Oryzias latipes: one gene and its partners. The protein of the gene in region 6 interacts with the protein of the main gene of each other region in a pairwise test. Links are inferred from orthologs where the notes say so. Each region holds a gene or a part of one and is shown on either strand. Other genes may lie near its edges.

What was found.
Region 1: the proteins of wdyhv1 (region 6) and c5h1orf50 interact in binary tests that used the Homo sapiens proteins (3 or more experiments, as listed by UniProt). The two-hybrid records come from large-scale screens. The link is inferred for Oryzias latipes from reciprocal best matches to the Homo sapiens genes NTAQ1 and C1orf50.
Region 2: the proteins of wdyhv1 (region 6) and growth arrest-specific protein 7 interact in binary tests that used the Homo sapiens proteins (3 or more experiments, as listed by UniProt). The two-hybrid records come from large-scale screens. The link is inferred for Oryzias latipes from reciprocal best matches to the Homo sapiens genes NTAQ1 and GAS7.
Region 3: the proteins of wdyhv1 (region 6) and TSC22 domain family protein 1 interact in binary tests that used the Homo sapiens proteins (3 or more experiments, as listed by UniProt). The two-hybrid records come from large-scale screens. The link is inferred for Oryzias latipes from reciprocal best matches to the Homo sapiens genes NTAQ1 and TSC22D1.
Region 4: the proteins of wdyhv1 (region 6) and rpia interact in binary tests that used the Homo sapiens proteins (3 or more experiments, as listed by UniProt). The two-hybrid records come from large-scale screens. The link is inferred for Oryzias latipes from reciprocal best matches to the Homo sapiens genes NTAQ1 and RPIA.
Region 5: the proteins of wdyhv1 (region 6) and angiomotin interact in binary tests that used the Homo sapiens proteins (3 or more experiments, as listed by UniProt). The two-hybrid records come from large-scale screens. The link is inferred for Oryzias latipes from reciprocal best matches to the Homo sapiens genes NTAQ1 and AMOT.
Region 7: the proteins of wdyhv1 (region 6) and rabac1 interact in binary tests that used the Homo sapiens proteins (3 or more experiments, as listed by UniProt). The two-hybrid records come from large-scale screens. The link is inferred for Oryzias latipes from reciprocal best matches to the Homo sapiens genes NTAQ1 and RABAC1.

The regions. Positions count from the first base shown.
Region 1 is NC_019863.2:24,468,043-24,472,269, reverse strand, and holds the start of c5h1orf50 (uncharacterized protein C1orf50 homolog), read right to left. Parts: upstream 2,805-4,227; 5' UTR 2,683-2,804; coding exon 2,634-2,682; intron 1,902-2,633; coding exon 1,786-1,901; intron 1,691-1,785; coding exon 1,604-1,690; intron 1,530-1,603; coding exon 1,398-1,529; intron 437-1,397; coding exon 251-436; 3' UTR 1-250. Other genes in the region: p3h1 (prolyl 3-hydroxylase 1), read left to right, coding at 4,129-4,227.
Region 2 is NC_019877.2:20,922,973-20,927,144, forward strand, and holds the start of growth arrest-specific protein 7, read left to right. Parts: upstream 1-1,360; 5' UTR 1,361-1,774; coding exon 1,775-1,954; intron 1,955-4,172. UniProt on the Homo sapiens protein: May play a role in promoting maturation and morphological differentiation of cerebellar neurons.
Region 3 is NC_019879.2:17,035,971-17,040,081, reverse strand, and holds the start of TSC22 domain family protein 1, read left to right. Parts: upstream 1-1,302; 5' UTR 1,303-1,877; coding exon 1,878-4,111. UniProt on the Homo sapiens protein: Transcriptional repressor. Acts on the C-type natriuretic peptide (CNP) promoter. Acts to promote CASP3-mediated apoptosis.
Region 4 is NC_019880.2:22,089,909-22,094,011, forward strand, and holds the start of rpia (ribose-5-phosphate isomerase), read right to left. Parts: upstream 2,811-4,103; 5' UTR 2,762-2,810; coding exon 2,597-2,761; intron 1,843-2,596; coding exon 1,782-1,842; intron 1,614-1,781; coding exon 1,558-1,613; intron 1-1,557. Other genes in the region: uncharacterized protein LOC101171122, read left to right, coding at 2,918-2,953, 3,217-3,361, 3,444-4,103. UniProt on the Homo sapiens protein: Catalyzes the reversible conversion of ribose-5-phosphate to ribulose 5-phosphate and participates in the first step of the non-oxidative branch of the pentose phosphate pathway.
Region 5 is NC_019872.2:12,814,578-12,818,094, forward strand, and holds part of angiomotin, read right to left. Parts: intron 3,426-3,517; coding exon 3,333-3,425; intron 670-3,332; coding exon 524-669; intron 444-523; coding exon 294-443; intron 1-293.
Region 6 is NC_019869.2:4,812,113-4,816,179, reverse strand, and holds the start of wdyhv1 (protein N-terminal glutamine amidohydrolase), read left to right. Parts: upstream 1-1,266; 5' UTR 1,267-1,313; coding exon 1,314-1,387; intron 1,388-1,684; coding exon 1,685-1,784; intron 1,785-4,067. UniProt on the Homo sapiens protein: Mediates the side-chain deamidation of N-terminal glutamine residues to glutamate, an important step in N-end rule pathway of protein degradation.
Region 7 is NC_019874.2:20,935,573-20,939,523, reverse strand, and holds the start of rabac1 (prenylated Rab acceptor protein 1), read left to right. Parts: upstream 1-1,151; 5' UTR 1,152-1,207; intron 1,208-1,421; 5' UTR 1,422-1,486; exon of another isoform or gene 1,487-1,534; intron 1,535-2,769; 5' UTR 2,770-2,783; coding exon 2,784-2,905; intron 2,906-3,283; coding exon 3,284-3,496; intron 3,497-3,671; coding exon 3,672-3,769; intron 3,770-3,924; coding exon 3,925-3,951. UniProt on the Homo sapiens protein: General Rab protein regulator required for vesicle formation from the Golgi complex. May control vesicle docking and fusion by mediating the action of Rab GTPases to the SNARE complexes.

The DNA of each region.
Region 1 (4,227 bases), on a different chromosome or scaffold from region 6:
AATGGCAGCTTGTTATCAGATGAACAGAACACTGTCCCAGTGGGTGAAGAAGCTCTGAAAACAAAACAAACCTATTAAGACTTAAAAATATATCAAAGCTGTCAACTTTACACCTTGTAGGGTCTGGTTTGTCAAAGAAAACTTTAACCAACCACCATGTTAGTGATTTTTATTTAAAAAAATGTTCTTAGTCTTTTATTTGGCTTAGTTCTGTCCATTCTTAAAAGTTCTTTATCTTGTCAGCAGACTTTTATTCAGTGAGGCCTTTAAAGTTGGGGCCGTTGTAAGACGGTAAGGCTATTTTTTGGCTCAGAAGTTTGTCCATGATGGCGATCTCTGCGTCCCTCCTGTCCACCTCGTCCACAGGAGTCCAGGACATGTCGTGCTGAAGTTTGAACGCTCCTAAAAACGGATGAGGGCAGCTTGGTCCCCACTCCTTCAAAGAGAAGAAAAACAGACTGTTTTTTACTTTCCAGACTCACAAAAGAAAAAGAAACAGTTTTTTCTCCAATGTTTTATATTAGAGAATAATCGTTAATTCTTTAAGCAGCAACAGTTGAACCCTTTTAATAATCTGGGGCATTATTTTTAATTTTTTTTTCTCCTTTCACAATTTGCTCTAAATTGTCTTTACAACAGTTTTTGTGGTAACGCTTGATATACATCTTTTTAATACAACACCAGCTTATTTTCAAAAGATTTATTATTAGAATATTACACAATAATTCAACACTGAACCTCAAACTGTATAAAATTTAATTCCGAATGGAAAAATGTAAATGCAGATCAAACATTAAAAAAGTATAAATTTAAATAGAAAGCAAAGACGAGATAAAAGAAAATGTAAAATTTGTCTTAAAAAAAAAAAAAAACAGGTGAAGCTCCACTCAAAGTTCCAAGGATTTATTCCAAGTGGAATCACAAATATGCGTCTTATGTTTGTTTTAAACCAAAAATTCCAAAGCTAAAAACTTTTTGAAACTTTCAAATTAAATTTGGAATGAAACTATAATAATGGGTTTATCATTGTCAACATCCAATGTGTTTGGCAAACTCACCAGTGAGTTTAGAGACTACTGAGGGTTCAAAAAGGGAATTGACATTTTTATTCCATGCTTAAACAAGGTTATCATTTGTTGCTGTTTCAGCAATGTTCTATGGAGAGAAAAAAAAAACAACTCCAAAAACTTTAATAATCTGTTTGCTTTGCACAAAACTCTCAGTTCTACTGAAACCAGCTGGTCCGGACAAAACCGTGCTGGGAATCTATCAGCTTCCTTTAAAGTTGCATGAACTTTGAACATCAAACCCCCTTAGCACGTGCACAGTCAAGTCAGGCGTTCATGTTCATTCACAGAAATGTTACATAACGTTTGTGTTTCAAGTGAGGCTCCAACCTTAGGTGAGATGATGGAGAAGTACTTCTGTCCAGATGGACGCTGGTAGAGGAAATACATGTTCCCCGGCTTCTTTACAATGTTGCAGGCGGCGTGGTGGAGGTCTGCGTCTCTTTTTGCTTCTTCCAAAACCTGACGGCAGAAACGAGTGAGATCCAAGAGGGTTGAGATGTGTGCGCTCCCAGATTGATCTGGTGCAGTTGTACCTTCCTGGCCTGCTCCTGCAGATATCTGATCTGGTCTGCAATCACTGTCAGCTTGTTGCAAGCGTTGGCTTTAACAAACTCGTCTCCCTAGGAAGATTTAAAAAAAAGAAAATCAAACCCCGTATTTAAGGTGTTACTTGGATTATATGCGTCAGTGACATGAGGGGTGAAAAGACACACACCTTCTGTACTTGTCCTGCCAGAGCCACCAGATCCATGGGGTCTCCCACTCTGTTGGTCTGGTAGGAGCTGACCAGTTCCAGCCCACTGGGTGCCGGGTTTCTCTCAACCAGAGTGACTACAACACAAGGAAGGTTACATGATAGAAAACTAATGTTGCAGCCACAAGTCTCTTTCTTTAGTTATTCCACTGTAAGTACAGGACACGCATAGTACCAATTTATAATGTAATATAAATTGGTACTATGCGTGTCCTGTACTTACAGTGGAATAACTAATGAATATATGAAAGCAAAAAAGGAAGTGAATTTAAATTAATTCTCAATAGAAATGGTTAGGTTAGCATTATCGAGTAATTATTTTCTGACTTTAATTGTTTTCTACTTTTTCTTGTTTGTTTTATCTTTGTCTGTTGGAACATTAGTGTTAAGATCTCTGCTTCTGTCAAGCGCCAGTTTTTCAAAATAAGAGCTCGGATCTGCGTTGAAGGAAATTCTAACAGATTGTTGGTTACATTTTAATTATTGTGTGTTTGTGACACTTCACAAAACCTACCCACATATAAATGACATTAGTGGTTGTAGGAGGGGCGTCTCAACGGATATGGGAACATTTTGTCCATCAACATTCAAACAAAGATCATAAATGAAACAAAATCCGGATCCACAAACACGAAAATTTAAAAGACTCAGCTTGTGTGGTAGAAAGTATATGTGAAAACAGCAACATAAAGATAAAGTAATAACAGAATAACGATGCTTAAAATAAAAAAATGTAATTACTGTTTAGCTATTTTAATCGTATAATGGTTAACAAAATTCACAAGAAAAAAACGACAATCAATTGGTACCTTTAGTTGTGTTCTCAGGCTGGTTCGGTAGACTAACCGTCCTCTCCATTTTATGTTTAATCGCTATTGAACTCCTCTTCACTACCGAAAACGAGATTTATAGGGCTGCTCTTCGTTCTCCACTCACCGGTTTAGTAACGTGCTGAAAATACTGTGGCCACCACCCTTTTTTCTTGGCTTAGTAGGACACATATGTGCCTGTACGAAATCAAAGCAAATAAACTTTTCTTTCAATTTAGGCTTTTTTTATATTGTTTGTTTTTACCCCAGTTATAAATTATAATCAATAATCAATGAAAAGTTAAAAAAAATTATATCAGCCCCAATAAAACGTTTTTTTCCCTTTTCAGGCATAACTTTGGACCCCTAAATCCCCAAACCCAGGTTACAGCTGATATATTTGTTACATGTTGGAGTTACAGCATCGCACGTGTCATAGCTTAGTTGTTTTTACCCCCCCCCCCCCCATGAGTATTTAAATAACTGGATCCTAACCAACAGAAGATTGTTCGTTTGTCACATTTCTTAAAGCTTTAAACCTGTGTAAAATATCTGAAATTTTAGGATTACAATCCTAAAATGTGTACTATAATTCAGTAAATGATCTACGCTTGGGGTTGATTGACAGCATGTTATTGCTCCAGTACAGGTTTGGGTAATGGGGCACCAGGAAGTTTTTGCGGTTAAAAAAAGTTTAAATAAATAAATGAATCATTTTGAATCAATAAAAAAGCTATTTTAATTTTTTTTTTTAACAAAAACAGGTAAGCCTACATGTAAAAACACTGAAAAATGGTACCTAAAATGATAACATAAGTCATACCTTAAAGAAAAATAACACGTCATATTATCTTACTTAGACTGACAAGCCTTTCCATTAGAATCACCTTAACTCATTTAGTTTTACATGATTTTCCCACTTTAAGATCAACAAAGTCTCTTATCCTCATATTTTACCTTAGCTTTAAACTTTAATTAAAAAAAGAGGCTTAAGGACGACATGTAACACTATTGCCATTACTAAAAAGTCAAAATAAATTCTTACATTTACTAACATATGTCACATTTGTTGCTAGTATAACAAGTGGTAACATTTATTTGCATTTAGAAAAGTAAAGTTTCACGCCCATAAGAAAATTTATTTTTACCAAAAACATGCAAATAACATTTTTGTATACAAGTTATTTTTGAGTATGGATAAAAATTTCTAGTGATCGGAGTTTTTTTTAAAGAAATTAAATAGTAAAAAAGAAATATTAAAAGGGGAAAAAAGCACTTTTCATTAAACATGATGATGGGACAGGGCGTCATGTAAACACAAACGTTTAGTTATGTAAATGTGGGTAAATGGACGTTTCAAAATGTAACTTGATGATTTGGGGGTGTGCACTGAGTGTCCAACCCCACCTCCTGCAGCAAGCCCCGGCCTGAGCGCTGACACCTCCCCACCAGCTCCCCTCTCGGTTCCAGCCGCTCGGCCCGGACGTTTCCCACCATGGAGCTCCGCTCCGCGCTCTTCCTCCTCTGCCTCGCCGCGCCGCTCTGCAGGTCGGACTTCAGCTCCGGAACCCCGCTGGAGCCCTATGACTTCCTC
Region 2 (4,172 bases), on a different chromosome or scaffold from region 6:
GTGTGACACAGACATCTGTAGTGAGGAAAACACATCCTGAAATGGATTTTACGTTAATATCCTTCATCTCAACAGTTTTAGAAAATTCCCAGAAACACTTTGTTTTGGCTCAGCGGCTTTCAGACAACAGACTTTATGTTGTTTATAATGGGGAAAAAATGGAAAAAAGCTAAACAGTTATGCAGCTACATAAGTCTTTCTGGCAACTGAAAAAGATATAAAATTTATTTTGAGGCCAGCTGTGAAGCTGAAGCCTGAACCAATGAAAATGGCACAGTGCTTTATTTTTCTATTGTTGAGTTGAGATTAATGGGTTGATGAGTTTTTCACATGATGTAGGTTTTTTTGTTTGTTTGTCTTTGGACAGTTGGTAGTTATGATGACACTGTTGGATGCAGCTCATCAGCAGAGTTGCAAACTACTTTTCGATGGCAGTTGTGGTCCACATATTTGTTCAGTATAGTCGTTTTTGCAAAGAAAACCATCAGAAATGTCTTTTTCACATGTGTGATGGACAGACTTAACAGTTTGATCTGTTAGATGGAGGGTTAGAAAGGATTTACATTAGTCAATGTTCAAGACTTTTCTTATAGACTCAACTGTAAATCACAATGCAATGCTTTTGCATAAAAAATAAAGTTACAAAAGTGATAACATTCATAAATTGTTTATTTTACTTGTATAAAGGTGATTGTGTTACTAAAATACAAACTTAAAATTTGATTATCTTTTATCCACAAATTCAACGGGTTTACATCAAGTTAATTGGTTTCTAAAAAAATGTTTCCGGTCAAACCCTTCAGAATAAAATCTAAACAAACTACTCTTTTTGGAGAAACAGATATTTCCTAAAAAATCCTTTAAAAAATCATCCAAATTTTTAATTTAAAAGAATGTTTACTTATATTTAAAGGAGATGAAGCCAAAAATCAAAGCCTACTAGATGTGCCAGTTTGTGACTGCAAATATGTCGAGGCAAAACCCAGAAAACTGATAAAATAAAATAAAAAACACAGTTGTATCAATTTATGAACTTTGTAAAAAAGAAAAAACTGCTACAGAGAATGCCATTCAACCTTTTAATGTAAAATGATAATTAACGAATTATGTTTTATTGTTGTCTCTTTAACTTTTAATTGTCTGGGTTATTTCTGAAAATCTTTTGTAAAATGGACGGATAATGATTTAAAAACAATGATGTCACAGAGAAACTACATTGAAGTGTCATTTCAAGTTCATAGATTTTATTTTTTTATTTTTTTATTTACCAAGGCTGTGTCCCACCAAGGTGGGGTAGCCTAGACAAGGCACACAATTTTAGCTCCCTCTGTCTCTTCCCCAAAAAAAAGATTTTATTTTGCATAACAAATAAAAACAACATTTCAGCCACACCTTTGAATTAAAAAATATTTTCATAATGAATTATCCTATGTTGAAGTTCAATGGGGTTGAAGAGAAACTTTCTTTGTTTTAATCAATTGTTAGAATGAACATGAAGAAACGGCGGACATGGTGGGGCTTTTCAGCTTTTACTTTGAAGGGAGAGCGGCCGCTTCCGCCGGTCGGCCCTCACTCGGTCCAGCCTCACGCGCCTCCTGGAGGAGACTTCACGCGACTTCAGGCAGAAGCGGAGGCGCGGAGTCCTGACAACACGGAGGAGGAGCAGATCCCGACATCTGTCCGGCTGCACTCGTTCCCTCTGTCTCAACTTGAACGGAATCGAACCAACGGTTCCCTCTGAGTCCGGGAGCATCCGTGGAAGTTCGGGCTGGAGATGTCCGGATCGTTCTGCAGAACTTTATACCCGTTCAGCGGGGAGCAGCACCAGCAGGGACTGAGCTTCCAGGCCGGGGAGGTGGTGAAGGTGGTGCAGGCTCTGCCCGGAGGCTGGTGGGAGGGAGAGAAGGACGGAGCCCGGGGCTGGTTCCCGTCCAGCTACGTGCAGGTCACGGAGGTAAGACCGGAACCCCTTCAGGTCTACGACCTGGTCCACATCCAGAACCTTTGTTTACATTTTTACAGCTGTTTCCAAATATACAGAACTAGATCCACCAACATGGTCCAACTTTACAGAACCTGGTCCAGTCCAAATTGAAACACTTTCGCTGTGCATGCAGAACCTGGTCACCCTTCAGAACCAGATCCAAATACAAAACACTGACCTCTGTCAATGTAAACAGAAGCTGAACCTGGTCCAGAATCTGGTTACATTCAGAACCCGTTTACACAAAGAGGCACTCTTTAAGAATTCTGAGAGAACAGCTTCCAGGGCTTCCCATCACAGTGGGACAGAGCGGCTGGGCCAGCTCCTCTTCCTCATTCCTGTCATTCCAGAGCGGGTTGCTCCTCACATGTGACCCCCCCCCCCCCCCCTCCCCCCCCACAGCTCTGAAGCTGCACGTGAAGATCCCCCTCCCCTGCATGATGATGAAGATGATGATGATGTTGATGATGCCGGGGAGGTTGGTGGCACCACCCCGCGCTCCTGTGGTTGTTGTGAGCCCGCAGGGGACGGGCGCCAGGCCCAGCCCCTCTCAGACCTGCCATTTTTATCGCATCTCCACCCGGGCTGGAGGCTCAGAGCAGGACCAGCGCGATGAGCCGGGTGTGTTCTGATGGAGACAAAACAAAGTTTTATCTCCTCTCTGGAATGTGCGGGTGGGCGGGGCAGCAGAGCAGTCCTGATCCGTCAGTCATCCTCCCTGCCCAGCTGTAGGGAGGATCAGCATCCCACTGAAGGAGACTTTGAGGAATCAGCTCTGATTCTGAGCGGGAAAGTTCTGTCACTCAGACCGCCACTACCAGCTGGTTTAGTGAGAAACTCCATGCCGACTCAGCTATTTGCAGCGCTCTCTCTGATTGGCTGTTGAAAACTGTCTCTGGTTGTGTGTTTTTTTTTTGTATTAAACATAACAGCTGCGTCTCTGAAGCTACATGCACTTGGCGTGCATTCAAGAACATGCTAAACACGTATTCTAGAACGCGCATTTAGCCCATGGTGTTCACACTGAACAAACAGGGAAGGGCTTCTTCTTCTTTTTCTACTGTTCACTAGCGCATGTCCCCCACCTATAGCTGGAAGAGGCGGGGTGTGAAACGTTGAAGGGGTGAAACTCTGGTCTCCAGGCTTTTTCTTTCACAGCTTAAAGGCTCGTACACACCGGGACGAATTTCGCCCACGATTTTCGCCGATGTTTAACGCCTCGTGACTAAACAAAGGGCACCAACGTGAGTGTGCACACCGACGCGAAAAAACACCAAGCGTCAAAGCGTCACTTTTTAAAAAACGCCTCTGGTTCGTTTTTTTGGTTCGACGCGCCGCGTCGAAAACTATACGACCAATGAGAACGGCGCTTTTGCACACGTGTCTGGAGCTTCTGAAGTTACAGTAAAACACAACTTGGGGGCACTCAAACACAAAACTGCCTTTCTGAGCACATATACCAGCGAAGAAGATAGACGCCAAGTAGCGTTTACACTGCCGCGAAGAAACAATGACGGAAATTCTAAAATATCCCCGAACCACACAAAAAACGTTGCGAAAAACGCTGGCGAACAACGCCTGGCGAATATTCGTCCCGGTGTGTACGGGCCTATATTCCGATTTACGAAAGATTTGGTGTTGTCGAATTGCGGACCGACACAATGATGAATTTTTCTTTCGTGATCAATTTTCAAATGGTTCAATGAATGAAAGGAGACGCCATCAACACTTCAATACCAAATTCAATTAGTTAAAGTTCGACCCGGTTTGACTTGCAACACCCATTTCGTACGTAGAGCCTGAAAACGGTCATACAAACTTGCGTAGCTACGCGTCAACGCTATAGTTTTTAACGCAGAAGCCAGAAATGCGCATTTACATGCATTTAACTTTACATAGAACTGGAAAGTGTACTACTGCGGCCGGTGTGAATGTAGCTTTAGTGTTAAGCTACGTTCACACCAATTATGTGCACTGGACTTTCACTACCAATACTAGCGCATAGGGCTGCACGATATGAGGAAAACTCGCGATGTGCGATATTGGTGATTAATATTGCGATAACGATATAATTTGCGGTATATAAACAACCAAAAACATAATTTCCATTTCACTGCAACAGTTTAAAAATTATACTCCAAATGACCCTTGTCGACGTAGGAGGCAAACATCTAACATAAAAGGGCTC
Region 3 (4,111 bases), on a different chromosome or scaffold from region 6:
TAAAATAACTTTGTGTCCAATGATCTGTCAATGTCTGATCGTCTGATACCAAAAAGGTTATGGAGACACCTGAAAAGATAAATAAAAAAGGAGAATAACTAATGTACAGAAAAGACCAGAACACTAAAAAAAAGAGATGTTTGACTGAGAGTTCGTTGACCTTGGCAACATTAACAATCACCAAATGTGTTTTCTTCTCTCTGCCTCTTTTACTCACTCTGTCTGACACAGGGGAGAGACAGAGGCCCCAAACAGTACCTGTGTGTAGAATAATCCTGCAGTGTACCCAACACCTGTGTCTGCAGAGGGATCCAGCAGCTCTCTGTCTGCCTTTGTTTCACTAACACTGATGTCCTCCTGTTTTGCCCAATCAAAATAAAACGTTTATCACGTATCAGATTTTTATGTCTTTTCCTTTAAAATATTTGAAGTTCTTTCTAAACATTGATTTAGTTATTTATTTGCTAGTGCAACTATCAAGTTATCTGTAACTGTTGCACATATTTACACTTCGTTGATAAAGTAAATTTTGAATTAATTATTGTGAATATTCGGTTCATTTATTTAGCCTGATGCTATATAAAACAATTTCTTGTAAACTGATTAATTAAATTAAAGAAAGTTAAGCAAAAATTATGTTTACCAAACTGCTGTTTATGATTTGGAACAACCCATTCCAGAATGTAGAGGGGTTTAAAAATCTACAGATGTGTTACATAAACGGAAACAACAATTGAAAATAAACACAAAAAATTTCTAATTGATACGATTTTTTTGTCAATATGAAAGAAAAAAAAATTATAGATCATATTTCAGACTAAAACAAAACTATTTCATGAGTGAAAACGATTATAATTAAGAAAATCAAAATAAACTATTTTAATGAATGATTTGTGTGACGTTTGCAAGGTAAATACATCATGTTACTCTTCATTTAGTTTTTTTAGTTTTTATTTCAATGTGTACGTAAAAATCTAGATGGTATAATCCAGTGTGGTGTCGCGTGGAGCGCCTTCACTCGGCTCTTTACGGCAAATTCCGTCGATGTTGATATAAAGTTCGTGAGCCGCCGCCTCACCCAGACTGCTTTATGTCTGGCAGGAGAGGCCATGCGCAGTCGCCATATTACGGCACACCCCTCCCTTTCAGTGCCGTCACAGCACAGATCCACAGCAGCCGCGAAGGAGGCCACATACTGAACGTCGCCGCCACTGGGGAGGACCGGTGATACAGCAAAACCAATACCAGAAACGAGGATTAGATGGAATGGATTTAGCCTCTGCACTCCGGTATTAGGTGGATGTTTTTTTGCATTTGCATCACCGTTTCTCTAATGAAAAGGCTCCTTTGTTTACTTTGCTTAATCTGGGTAAATAAGTAGTTTGAACGACTCACTACACCCTCAGCATAGCTAGCCGGTGATGGAAACTGGCAGCTAACAACTAGCTGACGATACTCCTCTGTCAAGCTAGTATTTGATTGAACCTCCTAACGGGGGGTATCGCTAGTCAAACTTGTGTACTCTGCAACTCGAAAGAGTGAAACACACGGGCTGTTCGTTCACTGCTAACAAAGGCTCCAGCGGACGTTAACCGGCGAAGTACAACTGGCATCAGCTGACGTTAGCGGCTAGCTGTTGAACAAGCGGCCACTAGCTTTGCTAGCTGTCACAAGAAAACTCTGAATCCTGTGCGCGAGGCTGTGGATATTGGCACGGGTTTGCCCAAGTTTTGAGGCCAACCGCCCTACTTTCTGACTTGCCTTATATTTTTCAGTTGGGTTGTATGTTTATTGTAGTTTTTGCAAGACGGCGCCGTTAACGAGCCACAGTCTACATTCTGTCAGAGAGCAACTACCGCCCGGCGGATCCCCTCGAAATGCATCATCATCCGGACCCTGCAGGAGACTCTGGCAGTGGTAGAAAGATGGCGCATCCGAATGCCACACATAGAAAGGGCAGCAACCCAAACAGCGGGACCAGTTCGTCGCTGTCAACACCGGCGAGCGCTCTGGTCAGCAACAGCCACGTTTCGGCCGATGATTATCATGGCTCCCTGTTGATTCAACCTCCTGCTGGTTCTTCCTCCCCGGGTCCCCATCCTCCTCCTCACAGCCTTAGCCTGCATCCCCAGCCCCAGACCACTCAGTCGACTGGAGCACAGATGATGAAGAAGAAGAGCGGATTTCAGATCACAAGTGTGACTCCAGCGCAGGTGTCGGTTAGTACGAATAATAGTATTGCAGAGGACACTGAAAGTTACGACGACTTGGATGAGTCCCACACAGAGGATCTGTCCTCTTCTGAAATCTTGGATGCGTCCCTTTCTCGAGCGAATGATGCTGTTGGCGCGGAGAGGAGCTCTTCAGAGGAGACGCTGAACAACTTTCATGAGGCAGAGACCCCTGGAGCTGTCTCCCCAAACCAGCCTTCACACCCCCACGCTCTGAGCCAGGCACAGCACACCGGGACTATGGTGAACGGGACTGTACACTCTCATCACCCCAACCACGCTCAGAGCTACCCCGTGTCATCTAGCATCACTCCATCTACACACGCTTCCAGAGCTTTACCTAGTTTTACCCAGAAGATGCCTTCTAGCGTGGAGGGTCCTCAAGAGAATGTTTCCCATGCTGCCCCTCCAAGTATTGCTTCTCAGTCTGTGGGGATTGTGGCCTCAGGATCTGTCCCTGGAATGCACAGCTCTTCAGCAGGCACCACACTTAGCATAGTTAATCCCCAGACCAGCAGTGTGAATAATGTGAATGCTTTGAGCTCTGCCAGTGTGCCTGTGAGAGGGGGAATCAACACAAGTGCTAGCAGTAGCGGCGGTGGCTTCCCTCTGAATGTGCTTAACAGCAGTGAAGCTGGAGGCGCTGCTATTCCAGCTGGAGGTAACCATATGTCCAGCGCTAATCTCAGTGTGATCCAGCAGCACCAAAACATCAACCCAAACATCACCATGGCTACTACCACCACTGCTGCTGCTGCTGCTGTGAGTGCCTCTGGCGGCATGGGGGTTCCCAGCGGGACACAGGGAAGAGTTGGATCAGCTGCACTGCAGCCTGTGAACTCCTCTGCTACAGCTGTGGCCTCAGCTCCTGTTTCATCCGCTCCTGCCATGCCTGCTCCTACTCCAACTCCAGTTTCAGCGCCCACAGTGGCTATTACAGGCTCTCGCTTCAGGGTGGTGAAGCTGGACTCTAGCTCTGAGCCCTTCAAGAAGGGGAGATGGACGTGCACTGAGTTCTATGACAAGGAGGTGCCACCCTCTGCGACCTTTACCTCAGCCCCAGATGCTGGCTCTCTCAGCACACGTCATTTTGTGTCTGAGAGCTTTGTTGGAGCCTTGGAGAGGGAAAGCACGAGTGGTGGTACTGCAAATACATTGAGCCATTACAATGAGAACACTGGAAGTGGAGAGGCTGGAGGGCCCCCGGTACTTCAGCATGCCCAGGATTTTGCCTCTCCTCCTCAGGGCTATCGAGGGATGCTGCCCAGTGGCTTAAACATGGGAGTACCTCAAACCCAACCTCATGAGATCGCCCATTCACAAGTGAAGACTACTGTAGCCCCCTCAGCTTCCACAAATATTCATCAGCCTGCACCCATGCCAGGGCTCCAGACCACCGTTGGCTTGCCTGCACCTACTGCCCAGCAGCAGCTCACCTATGCCCAGGCAGTTGCCAACCAAACCCCAGGCTCTTCACAGGGCCTGCTGGGTGTTCAGCAGCAGAAGATAGGCTTTCCCACCCTTCCACAACAATCAGCTGCTACTTCATCTGCACCCCCAGTGTCAGTGAGGGCTCCTGAGTACACCCAGCCCCAGCAAGGGGTCCCCCAGGCAGCTGCTTCTCCCCCTCTTTCCAACCAAACTGGCTCAGTGCCCTCTGGGCCAGCAAATGGATCTAGTCAGATGATTGGCGGTCCCCAGCAGTCCCAAGGACTCCAACACATACAGCCCACCTCTGTTCAGTCCACCTCTTCCAGCATACCCTCTCACATTGGTGTAGCAGCTCTTGGCCGGCCACCTCAGAACCATCCAGGCCATCTTGATTGTCAGAAGCCGCAGACCCTCCCCACGCAAATTCAAAATCCAGGCCTGAGCAGCCA
Region 4 (4,103 bases), on a different chromosome or scaffold from region 6:
AAGACGGCGCTGATGTTAAACCCTGATGCTAACATGCTACGATCATGCTATGCTAACGAGCTGTTCCGAGTGTCGCCAGACTGGGACCACAAACTGGTTTAAAGTGACACAATATTTACACAGAGCGGACTTTAAGACGGGGAGGATGAACTGTATTTTCTAAACACAATAACAGACGTGAATGAAACTTTATTAGCAACATCTAACATTACAGAGCCGCAGAATTAGGAAAAAGATACATTTTCTTTCAATCTGCTGCCCTTTAGTGAATCTGTCCATGTTTTATTTTTAAAGATGTGTTCATCCTATTTATAGATTTCTTTAAGGTCATTTTATTTTCTGACAGATTAGAAATCACTTTGAACAGTTGTTTCCATGTTGTGACGTCCTCTCTGTCTGCACTCCTCCTTGTTTTTAATTGACACCGATAGTTTTTCTGTGTAGTGTAACAATTTGTCCACACACAGCAAAATTGGTTTGAAGGTTGTAGCTGACAAAAGTGGGAGGACGACACATTTGTTTGAACACCTGAAACAAACTCTGTTCAGAGAGAAGCGTTTCTCTTCATCAGACGCTCCAGCTGTCTGCAGCTCCCAAAAATGGATCTGCAGACATTTCTACAGCTTTTGTGTTTAGCTGAACTTTGTGCTGGAGCCTACTTTTTAAAGGTGATGTTAAAATTAAGTAGTTTTTGTTGAATATATCCCATCATTTGTAATTTTTGTTAAAGAAATTAAAAGGACGGAGAAAAAAAAAAGTGTTATGGAGTGAAAAAAAGATTTTATTTTTTTGGCCACATGGCCCAGGTCTAATCTGTGTGTAGAAAAGTCATTTAAATAAACAACCAGAAAACACAGAAGTAGAAGTTAAATAAGAAGAAATAGATCTTTTTTTGGGGTGGAGTTATGAAGAAACAAGAAACTATTTTTTGTTCTTTTTATTTATATTTTACATTTGATGTTCAGAGTTTGTAATTAAATTTGTAATTTGTTTGGTTCAAACTGTTTTGTTTTGTTGCATTTCTGGCTGCGCTTTAATGTGAGACACGCATCAGGTTGCAGTGTTTTACATTTGTTTCTTCAGTAACCAGGTAAGTAAACTTAAACTGAAGTGTCACTGGGTAATTAAAAGGAGTCAGAGTAGGAGCAGCAGGTTTGAAGAGCCAGATTCAAACACTTCTACAGGAGAAGCTATCTTTAGTGAATTCTTTGCCCAAACCCACAAAGGGTGCAGCATCTGCAGATGATGATCAGCTGAGGTCAGCGTTGAAGGGTGAGAAACCATGAGTTCGTGTGGACATTGATTCTGTTTTGCAGTTTCCCCCCCAAAAAAAATCGAGCAGAAAGCAAAGCAGGACTTTGCACTGAAATGTTGCATTTAGCAAAGATCTGAGAGGTCTGTAGCAACACATGCAAAGAATGTGCTAACTGTCGTAGTGCAACGCGCCAGTTTCCTGATTTCACAAACACAAATGGTCCGAGTGGAGGAACTTGAGAAAATAAACTCGCAGCAAAAAGAAAAGCGATGAAAGCGGATCACAACAGCACATCCACTCACCTGGAAGGAGGTGGGAACACACACAATGTTGAGTTTTTCCTGCATCACTCTCTCCGCTGCAACAGAGACAAAACGGAGGCCACATAAACACTGGACCCATGAACGCCAAGTGGTCAGTTCTGCTCTTTGACTGCAGTCACAGCTGCTGGAATGGAACCATCACCAGCGGCTGCAAGCAGGCTCCTCCCACTGGACACAGACATGAACAGTTCAACGGCGCTCACCCAGTCGGTCCACGGCGTACACAATGGTTGATCCACTGCCCACTCCAACCACCTGGTTGTTCTACAGAAAACAAGGAGGCGTGGTGTCTGAATCCATTCAGCTCACAAGATCACAATCCAGTTTGATTTTTAATTTAAATCCCATTCATCAGGTTTCAGTATGATATTCATGTTTCAATAAATGGTAAAGTCACATGAACATTTTAAAAACAGAAAAGCTAGTGATTTACAACTGTAATAATGTCTTTCAGACACACATCAAGGCAACATTTAGGAGCAATGTTGGCTGGAAAAGACGCTTCAAGAAGCTGCAGAGAGTGAAATTTTTCATAAAAACACATTTTATCTATATATAAAAATCTATAATTAACATGAAAGTCCAAGCAAAACAAAAATAACATTGATACTGTTTTTATTGAAATTAAAATAGGTGTTTAGGTTCACCTTTCACCTGAGGGTCGCTTTTCTGGCCCACGGGGGCTCCCGTTCCCGGTCGGAGGAGCTGACCTCTGACCCCCCACACTTATGGCTAACAACACCGTTAATTCCAGCCTAGACTAACTTCTACACCGCTCATGCCCCTGTTTTCCTTTTCACCCTAAATGTTTCCTAGCTGCAGCACCATAGTGCGGTTCAAAGCGGGACAAGCCCGCGCAAAGCCGCGCTAAGTCGCTTTAAAGTATTTAGATAATGTTGTACTTGCTAACTTTGCCGCGCGCCGGAACTACTAGCTGAACGGCCGTGACGTCGTCTCAAACTCTCCTGCTGCAGGACTCGAACGGACGCGTTCGCTCAGAGGACAGCGACTAGGGTACCTGGACGTGGTTGTCCACGGCGGCGTAGGCGGCCAGCTTCTTCGCCTCCTCTGCCATGCCAGCATCAGACTCGCGGGAGCAGCGCACGTGCCGGTGACTGGAGAGCGCGAGGAGCTTCCGCGAGGGTGGAGCGCAGAGGAGTGGTACGAACCCTGGTAGCCTCATGACACCCCCCTCCCGCAAGCGCAAGAGAGCCTCCCCAAGACGACTACCCCTCGCTGCAGTGGGCAGTGTGCCTCGACGTGGGCGGGGCTAAACGCGTTGGGCTCCGCCCACAGAACGTGATTCCATTTCTTCTTCTTCGCTGCAGTCAGATTGTCCATGTGCAGCGACACAACACGGAACTGCAAGATGGAGGTACGCATCAACAAACAAACGGGCATTCATGACAATAAGACACATTTTCGCCTCACGGATGAGGCTGTTATTTGTATTTTTGCTTTTTTCTGTCGTAATATCCACGTAGTTCAGGTTTCACACGGAACTACAAGTTAGAATTGCGGCTCTACTCCTCGGGACTTTCGTAATCATCATGATGATGTTCAACTTTTTTGTGTCTTCCAATCAATGTAGGTGAAACTTTCCGGTTTTTTCCACCTGTATTTTTCCTCTCTTTACAGAGACACGTTACAGTCTTATTGGGCAATGAAAAACCAACGCCGAAAACCCTAAACGGTTCTTCCCACTGTCCGTTCTGCCGCTACAAGGGCGCAGAGCATGCTGTGAGACACCACATGGAAAACCATTCGTCCGTCAAACACAAAGGTACAGTCTGGGTTCTGAATGGAAACTGTCAGTCACAAGTCACAAGTCATGAAGTATGTTCTTCCCATCATTCCTCTTTTAGGATTCACAGTCATCAAGTGTGGTTTAGGTTGCCGGACTGCGTCACACTTTCACTGTTGCCATTGTCCGGCAACATTGGTCAACAGGTCACAGTTTTTCAAACATTTGGGAGCGCACCACGTAGGAAATCCTCCATGGCTGCTAGAGGTCAAACCAGAGCCCCCACCGCAGCTCCCACTGGCCCCACCACAACTCCCAGAGCCCTCATCGCAGCCCCCACTGGCCCCACCACAGCTCCCAGAGCCTTCATCGCAGCCCCCACTGGCCCCACCACAACTCCCAGAGCCCTCATCGCAGCCCCCACTGGCCCCACCACAACTCCCAGAGCCCTCATCGCAGCCCCCACTGGCCCCATCACAGCTCCCGCTGGCCCCACCGCAGATCCCACTGTCCCTATCACAGCTCCCAGACCCCTCCTCGCAGTCCCCGCTGGCCCCATCGCAGTCCCCGCTGGCCCCATCGCAGCTCCCAGAGCCCCCATCGCAGTCCCCACTGTCCCCACCTCAGCCCCCATTGCAGCAACCAGCACAGCTTCTATGGCAGCAAACCCCGGCCCCACCACATCCCTCAGAGCGCCCCCAGCAGCAAAAAAACCCAAAGGAAATGTGTCGGACGCAGACAATTCTTTGTCATCTCTGCGGTTTGAATTTAAAAAAAAAAA
Region 5 (3,517 bases), on a different chromosome or scaffold from region 6:
TTCTACATGTTTATCTTGATTCCTTCCTTTTAGTACAGTTTAAGTCTATTTTTTAAACAGTTGCACCAAAGAAATAGACTTAGATGTGTTTTGTTTTAGCAGACATATATTCAATCTGAAGACAAATAGAGCTTCTCTTAAGGAAGCTTCAGCTAGATTAATATTGACAGAGATAAAACAAAACTATACATGACTTAAAATAGGAAACTGCTTTTTGTGTGCTAATAGAAAACTGGAAGCACATCAGAGCATCAGCACTGATGCAGGTCTCCTTTGAGATGCGGCTGCATTACCTGCTGCATGCGTAGAGACTCCAGCTCTCGTTCCAGTCTCGTTCGGAGTCGGTGCTCCAGCTGTTCTCTCTTCTCGCACGCTGCCTGGAGCTGAGCCAGGGCCTGCTGCATCCTCTCCACCTTTTCCACATACACCTGCTTTTTCTTCAGCTGCACATAAACAAACAAACATTCTTATTTACTGTACTAGTGAACGTTTTTGGTCATTTTTCACTGATTCAAAGCCTTGCCTCCTCCTCCAGCTTGACCACTTTGGCCTGGGCATTGTTGAGAGCCTGGTCTCTGATCTCAATGTGTCTCCTTTGGTCGTCTGCAGTGGAGCGAAGGGCGTTTAACTCCATTTCCAGCTTCTCTTTCTCACGCTGCATTTCTTTATCTGAATTCACATTCAAAAAGAAATCCTTATTATGCTTTATTTCACAAACACATCAAACACACTGGTGATTAGTTTTAAAAACTATAATGAAAACACTAATAAAGTCCCCTGTGATTTATGTGGCATTTTTGAGACCCCCTGAATGGAACTGCAGTGCTTTTGTAACACACTATTCCACGTATGCTACGTGCAGCGGCTGCACACATGTCTGGGTCTCAAGGCCTGTGGAGAGGCTCATGTGCTCACCCGTTCGTCCTGATAGAAACAAAGTAGAATAAATAGGATAGAGCAATAAAGACCAGACTATAAACTATTTACCGTATTTTTTTGAGTATAAGTTGTGTTTGTTGTTGTTGTTTTTTTGCATATGTTTAGGAGCAACTATTTTGTGATAGTAAAAAAAAAAACATAAATAGGCTCATATAGTGTATTGTCACAATCGGTTGCCCTTTCACGGTTAATTCCCACTAACAACCACTAGAGTGCACTGTAGGTGTGTGTATCGGTATTTGCTCCTCACAGCAAAGCAGAAGAAGAGCCATCCACAACAAACATGGAAGGTAATTTGATGGTTCTCCTGAACTTTATTACAGTTTTCCTATTTACATCGAGACATGACGATTCTTGTTTTTACTTTTTTTGTTTTGGACTCAGTTGGCTGGGTGTAGGATTGGCACGCAAGAAACCAAGATTCGCCTCCCAAGGGACGCAATGAGTGTGGGTTCTTGGGGCCTTCACGCTACTGCCTAACTATGTAGCAACAGGGGACCAAGTCTGGGTCTCCCTGTGCCGGTCCCCAGCCCAGATAACATACAGGTTTGAGTCAGGTAGGGCATCCTGTCTAATAAGCTCGGCCGAACTACCTGTGTAAATCAGTGAAAGCTGATTCGCTGAAGGGATTTGCTGAAAGGTGAACGACAACATTGAGCATCGAATTTAACGTGCATCAAAAGGGATGCGGGATGGGAATTTGACGTGTAAATGCAATAATACACAAGGTTTGGTGGATTTGTTCAGAAGAGTTGTAGTTTTAGGAGAAAAGTGCAACTTCTATATTTTTTGGCACTATTTTGGCCTTTTTTGGCTCCTGCTACTTATACTCTGGTTGTTTTTTATGCAGAAACGGTCCAAATAAGAGGTTTCATTGCCGTAAATGATATAAAACAGAGTGAAGCTCAGTCACTTCTTGTCTACACAGTTGATTTATTCAACTTATTTACAATTTCATTTTTCATTGTCTTAAACCATTAACTGTATATCAGAACTGGACCGAGTGACCCCACCCCGCTCGAGTTCCAAACTGGAAGTACCTGCTGGTTCCAAGAAACCAAAATCCCATAGACTTCTATAGAAACAGCCAGTACTCAGTCGTTCTACTTGTTATAAAACCATTCCTGCTCGGATATCTTAAACTAAGCCCTTGCTTAATTTCTTCATGATATTTTTTTCTGTAATGTAGGTTATAAACTGGCCAATCACATGCCTGAATCAAAGGATAAGGTTTCACATCAAACATTCAAAAGTTTTTTTTTTGACAGATTTCATTTTCCCCTCTTTCAAGTGGAAGCGATGTGGACTTCCAACAAGCTCCTGATTGGCAAGAATGGTTGCCATAGAAACGTTGACCGACTCAGACCAATTAATGCTTACAGACGGTTCTGATTCCAACGTGGTGGCACCGTGTTCCTAAAAAATGAATTGACTTCATCTTGCTGGAGCCAGAAGTAAACCATGTTTATCGATGACATCACACTTACTCCACTTTTCATATACAGTCTGACTTAAAAAAAAATATTGGGGAAATTTGTTCTCCACATTTGACCCATCCCCTGGGGGAGCGGTGAGCTCCAGACACAGCCGCATTCGGTGGTTCAACCCCCGAATCCAACCCCTTAATGCTGAGTGTCAAGCAGGGAGGAATTGGGTCCCATTTAATAAGTGTTTGGTGTGACTCGGCCTAGGTTTGAACCCATGACCTTCCAGTTACAGAGCGGACACTCTAACCACAAAGCCACTGAGCTGGTTATTAGAGACCCCTTATGACAACTTGGGAAAAAAAAACATGTTTTTTTAATTCTAATGATGACGTTTATAACCAAAATCCCACAATCTAAATGTCTTTAAAAGCCATATTTCATGTCTATCCAAAATCTCCTCTACGTGGGCATTGGTGCTGAGTTGAGTAGCCCCGCCCTCGACCCCCCTTTCTGCAAGCTGCATCTGCAAGCCGCAAAGTTCTTAAGATTTTAGGTAAAAACTGTTTTTGTCTTCACTCCATTAATTCAGTGCCATTGTGTTGAGTTTGCTGGCTTTGTCTGCAAATATTTCATTGAACTTGTGATCTCCAAAGAATTTCTTCTAAAACTGTAAATCCAGCTGCTGATCAGCCAAACGTTTTCATGGGTTAAAAATTGAAAACATTTGAACAAAAATTGCATTCATGTGGACTGACTAATCTGCAGCAGCTTTAAAGATTATCCCTGTGTTAGTTTTGAGCCTTAAAAATATGCTAAATGACCATTAGCTAAAGCCAAATGGCTCCGCTGCCAACTCAAACACTGACTGTGGAATATGTGGCCACTGATTGGAGAAGAAAAGGGTGTTTAGTGTTGAGGTAGGCATGCTTGCTGGAGTATGTGTGTGTGTGTGTGTGTGTCACTCACTCTGTGTGAGCAGCTGTGAGATGGTCTTGCGGTTGTCCTCTGAGCCCTCGCAGTCTTTCGTGGCGAGCTGCTTGTTTGCCGTCTCCATGCGCTCTTTAAAACATCAAAACCGGAAGTAAATGATCTGGACTCACACAGACATTTCTAGTTGTGAAAAGACAACTATTGTTATTTTATAGTAAGTT
Region 6 (4,067 bases):
AAGCCTCCTCCTATAATACAAAAACTCTGACAGCCCTAATTGGATCTAGTCTCCCCTGTGTCATTTCACACTATATTACACACAATCCAGTAGTTACCAATACCTTTAAAATTATGTTTCAATTCAGACAGACGTATGGACTCACTCAAGTGCTTACCACTAGTCCTATACACAAAAATCACCTTTTTCTCCCTGGTCAGACAGACTTCGTATTCATGATTTGGGAAGTGATTAAGGTACAGTATAATCAACTTTAAGGACATGTACCTAAGCGGTATATTTGCAAGCTTCAATGATCTTGCTTCCAAATTTTGTCTGCCTCACTCTCACTTTTTTTAGTACCTTCCAGTGTGTCGCTTCCTTCAGCAGCATGACCCTAACTTCCCTAACATACTGTGTTAGATGAGGTGTTTGAGTTGCCACTCAATTCAAAAAGATTCATTTCCAAAATCAAAGACTGCAAAATTCCTGCTTCCATCTTTGTTGTTTGATTGTCGACTGGTTAATTCAAAACTTCCAAACTTATGTAATACGTTCTTTGTTTGTTGGAGAACTGTTTCCAACATTCTACAAAACTCATTCTATGTCCCAGCATTACACAAAAAAGTTTTTTAAAAACCCAATTTTTCCAAAATACAAAGAAACCCATTTTAAACAATGAATGCAGTATACCCATGCAAGGAACTGCTACATTTACGTTTTGGTTTTCAAGAAAATAACTGTTAATAAATATAAAATCACTTGATCATCTGTTTTTTGAATGTACATATGTTACCAGTTTTTGGGAGTATTGTGTTTGTTGGTGCTCCTCAAAGTTTCCTTTTCCTATTTCTATTCCGTTACAGTTGTGAGTACTTTCTGGTGATAATTTATTTGATTTGGCATTTGATACTTTATTAAATTCTGGGAAATTCTTCATCAATGAGAGCAGATTTTTTTAAAATCAAATCATTATTCAATACATTTCATAAAGAGATCTGTTTACATTTTAAATCCTTGGAATTCAAGAAAAACAGAAATGCAATAAAACTGTCAATTTTCATTGAAGATCACATGTTGTATGACCATACCTAGTGTGAGCTACAATTCTAATGTTATTTATTTATTTTTTCTTTGTATTGTATTCTTTTTTCTTTTTATATCTTTCTATTGTAGTTATGTGAATGTGTACGTGTCATCCTTTGAAGTTCAATAAGAATAAAATAAAATAAAAAGTTGGTGAAATCAACGCTACAGGAATGGGCTTTTAGTTTGAAAGGACGGATGTGACGTACTGTATTTTCGGTGAGGTTCTTTCCGGTTAGCTTACAGACATGAAGGGTCAGTTAAAGAAAGGTGTGGAAGTAATACCAAGCCGGGAAAACTGCGTTTATACCAGCTGTTATTGGTAAAAACCAAGTTTTAACAAATCAGAAAAGCAGCCCACTGTCCTGCAGTCTTTAGTTTTGTGTCAATAAATCATTTATTGTCAAGAAAAACATCAAAATGCTAAGCGGATCCGCTCGGCTAATCGATATTCACAGTTTACATTGTTAAATGTTATACCCATTTTTAAAACTGTTATAGTGAATGAGTTATTTCAATGCCATCTGTCTAATTAATGATTGAATGAATTTTCAGGGAAATATAGTTCATTTTAATCAAGTGAATGAGTGGCTAATGCTGCTTTCCTTTACTTTCTCAGTGAGGAAAATGTTTGGAAGCTCTGTGAGTTTATTCAAGCACAGAAAATGGTTCCACTGGACCAGTTTGCTGTAATTTTCATCTCTAACGACACCAGAACGGTAAGAAGATCTGGAAACATTTTAAACGGCTTAACAAGACAATCGAATAAACAAAATGTTTGCTTTAAAAATAATATTTCAAAAAGTACCTCATACTGAGAATGATGGGCACCGAGCCCTCAAGGGTTCAGGTGGTCTCAAGAAATATTTGAAAGTAAATAACAGGCCTTCTCTGTAAAAAGAAAAATCCTTTTTGCAAAACATCTGGTAGTTTCAAAATACAGCTACAGTGATCCCTCGCTATAACACGGTTTACTTTTCACGGTTTCGCTACTTCACGGATTTGCATCGTGCATTGTGTTCTGCATTCTGATTGGCTAAAAAGTCACTTCACTTCTCTACCTGTGCGTCAATAACATTGCAGTTTAATATGTACACGTACGTAAATCAGCGTGCCAAATTTACAACAGATACGTGCAAATCATCTTGCAATTTCGAGTTTCTCTATAACCCATGAAAAAAAGGAGCGACAACAACAACTGCCTATCACTATGTTCTTCTCCCGAACAAACACAGCTGCACCGCGGGCTTCAAAGGGAGACTGCAGAGCGGAGTCAGGATGCAGCGGCTCAAGAGCAGTGAATTACACCTGAGTCACTATTTGTCTGACCGTACTTTGTATTTTTTTAAAAATCATTTTAAATATCTTCCCGTTTAATCCAAATACTCGGGTCGCGGTGGGCGGGGCTAATCTCCGCGATTTGAAGCCTTCTGTTCACATTGATGATTAAAATTCTTATTTGACAGTACAATACAGAAGATATTTGTTGAAAAACCTTTTCTAAAGTACTTTTATTTGTGAAACAATTCCTTAGCCTGTAAAACGGTTTGTTCTTTCTTTTCAATGTATAATAGAGAATTTAATTGTATAATAATTGTTAAAAAAAAAGGTTTCTACTTCACGGATTTTGCCTATCACGGGTTCTTTTTGGAACGTAACCCCCGCGAAAAACAAGGGTTTACTGTACTCCATTAATTGTGTCCAAATTGGAGGGCTGTGTTCTTCCTGGGCTGCATCTGAAGGCTGCTTACGTAACATGTTGTCCAAATTCAACAAGTCCTTTAAATATGGCCACCGAATACAGCCTTCTTTTTACCCGATTTCAAGGATTGCTCTGGTGTACCCTTCTATGCTGTCCATATCCCAAGATGCATAGCAGTAGAACCCGGATATTTTCTGACAACAATGGCTCCATGCCTGGTTCACTCCTCCTCCCTGTTCGGGACTCACGGTTGCTAGGCAACAGGACATTCACTGATGTAATGGCTGGAATTATCTAAAGGCTAGACTCGTCCAAATTCACAGCCATTAACATCTGACCTACCCGCTCAACAAAGGACCCGAGTAACATCGCCAGGGAAGACTGCGGCCATTGAAGGACGCAGACTTCGAATTTGGGAGCACCCAATATATAACGCTCAAATGTTGTGAAAGCGTCTCACTAAAACGGTCAATCAAACCAAACAAAGAAGTTCATCAAACAAATAGGCAATCCCTAAAACTGGCCACTACACACAGTACATTACAAAAACCAAAGAAATCCCGGACAAGCCCCCAATTTATGTTACACCCCATTTTAGGAAAAAGAAATACTATTTAATAAAAAAACAACCAAATTACTGTATATTTGCAGTATAAAGCACACTTAAAACCCTTAATTTTTTTATTTAAAAAGCAACAGTTTGTCTTAAAATCATGATCACCCTATCTATTAATTAGTTATGCTGCAAACAAGGTTGGGTGTTATTGTGAATACCCTCACGCGGCTAATGTGTGGCGATGTTGGACTGTTTTTTTGGTTACCAAAAAGGTTGTGTGATAGCGTAGTCACGGTAACGTTTGTTTTAGCGCTATCAGTCTGTTTTGTCCACGTGCTGCAAGCAAAGTAACGTGACTGACTGACGGACATTTCTCTGACTCTTTAATCTCACTTAATCTGCCTTGTAGTTCGGTGTGCTCTATATGTGACATATGCTCAAAATAGACCATTCATTGATGTTGTGCTTGATAATCCGGTGAGCCCTGTAGTGTGGAAAATACTGTACAAAGAACAAAGCCTGTATGTATGTTCTGCCCTGGAGATCCTTGCCCAGTCTGGTGCTCTGGACAATTAGGCACAAATGTGCAATCAAAGCTGGCAGAGGAGAAGGAAGACAGAAAACCTCCCACTCCAGCAGAAAATATAAAAGAAAATAGAGAGAGAAAACCCAAATGTACAAAAAAGCCATCACACTGTCATTTATCCATAAATTTTCTAAATCTGCTTAATCTGTTTTGAGGTC
Region 7 (3,951 bases), on a different chromosome or scaffold from region 6:
TTAAAATATTTTCAAAGCGTTCCCCGTGTTGTTTTCTAGGAAGGTTTCTGCATAGCGGCAGGAGTTAATTAGAAATTAACCCCCCAGAGTCGTGGGCAGGACTGCTGGCATGGAGTTAGCCCCCCCTTACCACCATCCCTTTACACACTCGCTTACAGCCCCTCACAATCACAACTTCCACTGCACATTAGTGGTGCAACAAAAATTGTGAACAATATTGGAGCTATCCAACCGTACAGTTTTGAGCCAGATGGCAGCTCAGACGAGGAAAATGAAGCCCAAATGTGTCAGAATGAAGCATCAGAATGGAGCAGTGAGGGAGCTTGGTTGGTGTAGTAGCTTCTACGTCACACTTACACGTTTTTTTGCAACAGCTTTTTGCGTCTAATTCACATCAGTTTGCATAAAGAAATACTCAGAAATGCAATTCTAAGCTAAATTTTCATTTTCATCGGAGTGGGTATTTTAATTGTAGCTAGTAGTTGTCATGTTAAGTCTTTGTGTGTACATTGTGTGCCACAAACGAACACTCACTATTTAAGATTTTCTTCAAACTTGCAAGCAGCTACCACCTATAATGAAATGCATCGAGATGTGTTTAATTACTGTCATATATGCCTAGCTACAATTGCTAATGTTATCTTTACCGACTCGGTACCGTTCCTCTGAACAGAGTTATGTAATCAGTAGGGTGGGGGACAACACATACAAAACACACAGCTCTTCAATTGTTCGATTAAAAACACACACACAGGAGCTCGTTGGCAGTTATACTTCACGTAACACCACGCAAAATTAGCAGAAAAACAATTCTAGAGACAAATAAGACGGTCTATTGTTTGTTTCAACGACGGTCGGTGCGACGACATGATGATGAATCCCGCTGAACTTATTAGTCTAGCAGACGCTAAGGCGTCAACTAATACAGCGTAACGTTAAACACGCGCCTTTAAAACACTATTAGGTTACATTTTCCACAAAGAGAATATTCCTAGAGTGCATTAGACCTCACCTTTCAGCCGCGATAGCTTGCCTGACGCTGGATGATCTAGCAACTTCCACAATGCAACGTGCGACGTGACAGTGGCTAGACGTGAGTCGTAAATTGACCAATCACAGCTCTCGGGCTGGGTTTCATAACGTAAGGTCACGTTTTTGCCACACTTAACATACCGATTGTTCCCAGATTGTTCCTAAAAGAATCAAGGTAGTAATCTCTGTCACTTTGGCACTAAAAATGTTTTTTGATTTCTTGTCGACTTCAAAGTTAAATAGAGGAATGAATAAAATATTTTTATATGGTTAAATGTAAGGGAAAAAATAACATCATAGACTGGGGAGTTCTTTGGTGCAACCAGCAGGGGGCAGTGTGCGGCATTGGTGTTGTAGGAAGTTCTTTTCTTCTTCTTCTTCTTCTTCAGCCACATCACATCCGTGAGGACCAACAGCAACAAAACAACTTGGCTTTTTATCCATAACTTGGTCTGTAAGTATCTACATCGTCTGTAGGTTTGACATTTGACACATCACGAAGGTAAAATCTTATGTCTTTTCATTTCAATGTTTATAAATTACTGTGATCTTCGTACAATCAGTTTGATTTAACATGAGACACGAAGAAGTAGGTAGTATTCATTTTATAAAAGTTATTCCACTTATAATTCGACACATATGGACAAATTTGATCCTTAAAAGATTTTTACTTGCTCAAAATGTCGTTTTCTGGCTCAGTTCTCGGCCTTTGTCAGTGATGTGGCAGTGACCAAGCCCTGTTGACAAAAATTTTCCACTTACGAGATCCGCTCCTATGTTTCTGGCCAATCAGGAACAAGTTTGAATTAAAATCTAACCTCTATGCTCTTAAGAATAATGTGGAAACTAGTGATCATGTAGTTTTTCTTTTGTAGTTACTGCTGTTTCTCCATTTTAAACACATTTTATAAAATATATCAATTGTTATTTACCTTTAAAAAATAAAGTAAACAGGTTTTCCTTTCCTTTTTCCTTTTTTATTTATTTATTTAAGTTTGCTTTTGATGCACCTCGAGGAGTGTTACAAAAATCGTAAAGATTGTATGGTTGTATGGTGTATGGTGTTTTATTTCCCATTTAAACAGGGGAAAATAAAGAAGAATCCAGAAAAATTCTGACATGTTTTATAAAGGATACATATCGTTTGTACATTGAAAAATACGAGGAAAAATGCAAACTTCCAATAAGACAATCTTTTTTTTTCTTTTTTTTTTTTTTAAATTAACTTTAGAAGCAAAATGGAGAAACTAAACAAAACAAAATCTTTAAACCACTTGACAAACCCAATGATGTAACAACATCCCACATGCAAACTTGGCATGCACTTATCTGCATGTTAACAGTAAACAATAGGCAAAAAAGGAAAAGAAAAGGAGTCAGATCTTTCCTGAGCTTCTATCTTCCGTTCATTTGTTTACTCAGTTACCCATTGTAGTATTTGGGTATATGTCTTCAGTCATATGTATATATTTTCTATTTTATGATTTTCTATAATTATTATTAATACTTAGGCTCTTCATTAAACAACCTCAAACTCAAAAACGTTAATATTCTTTTATCCCACTTCATCTCTCGTAAAAAACATCTATCTCCATATAAAGGAAGGCCATTTTTCCACACAGTTTTTGGACTATTTATCTTGTGCTGATCCGAAGAAGGGGGAAAAAAAAGTATGTGAAGGAAAAATCTTAAGACTATTTCTTTTATTTTATTTATTCTATTTTCTTTTATTTTCAGGAGAAGGTTTGCAGATGCCATCTGGAGTACCAAAGGGAGAGAACTGTCAAGTGGACATGGACAGCAAGGCTGGAGATCTGTTTACGGCTGAAGATGCTCACCCAACTGGCACGGGTGGAGCTGGAATCCTTTCAAAGTACGAGTCAGTTTTGTTTTTTTTAAAAAGGAGTTTAGTGACCCAAACAACTTTCTTCGGTGATGGACGTGGACATTAAACAGCGTTTGTAGAAAAACCACAGCAATGGTGCTAAGGCTCTGTGAGTTACTGTCTTTACACATCCACTTTTGGGGGTGGAGTTAGTCCTAAATCCTCATCCTCCTGTTCTGTAGACTGTGCCTCATTACTTAAAATTTTTTTTTTTTTAAAGTTTTGTTTTGTCAAAGTTTCTAAGAATTTCCTTAATCAAACTACAAAATACTTTTTTGTTTTGCTCATATTGTCAAAAGTTGTAATGCATTGACTTTTTCCTTGAGAGTTTGTACGCTTTATTACCATTTTACCTTTATTTTGTAGGCTCTGGCTCCCTAAAGGCTTCTCTGCCAGCATGGCCAAGGAGTGGATTGATAGGCGCCGATTGTCCATTCGACCGTGGGCCAGTTTTGTGGACCAACGCAAGTTTTCAAAACCACGAAACTTCGGAGATGCATGCCAGAGAGTGGTGAAAAATGTGGAAACTTACAACAGCAACTACACCTTCATCTTCCTGGGTCTCATCCTGTACTGCATGTAGGTGTAAACCTGAGTTTGCTTTGGCCTTACCTCAAAACATTATTGAAGTTTTATGAAATAACAGATGCAACACTGACTGCACACACTAAGGCCACCGGGATTGAGAAAAGAAAAAGAAAAGATTGAATCAGTAACAGCATTATGAGCCTTTTTTTTTTTCTTTTCTTGTCAGTATAAGCTCCCCTATGCTACTGATTGCATTGGCTGTGTTTCTTGGTGCCTTCTACATAATCCACCTGAAGTCTCAAGAGTCCAGACTGGTTGTTCTTGGTAAGTAAAACAGAAAAACTGCTGTCCTTAACTTGCCTGAAAGTGAAAAAACTTTTTTTCAGAGTTTTTTTCAGCCATGCATGAAATGGGAGAATCTTATAGAAAGCCACAGAGAATTATGTTTTCATGTGTTTGCCAACTTTGTTTTTTTCCAGGCAAACAGCTTAATGTCCCTCATCAGA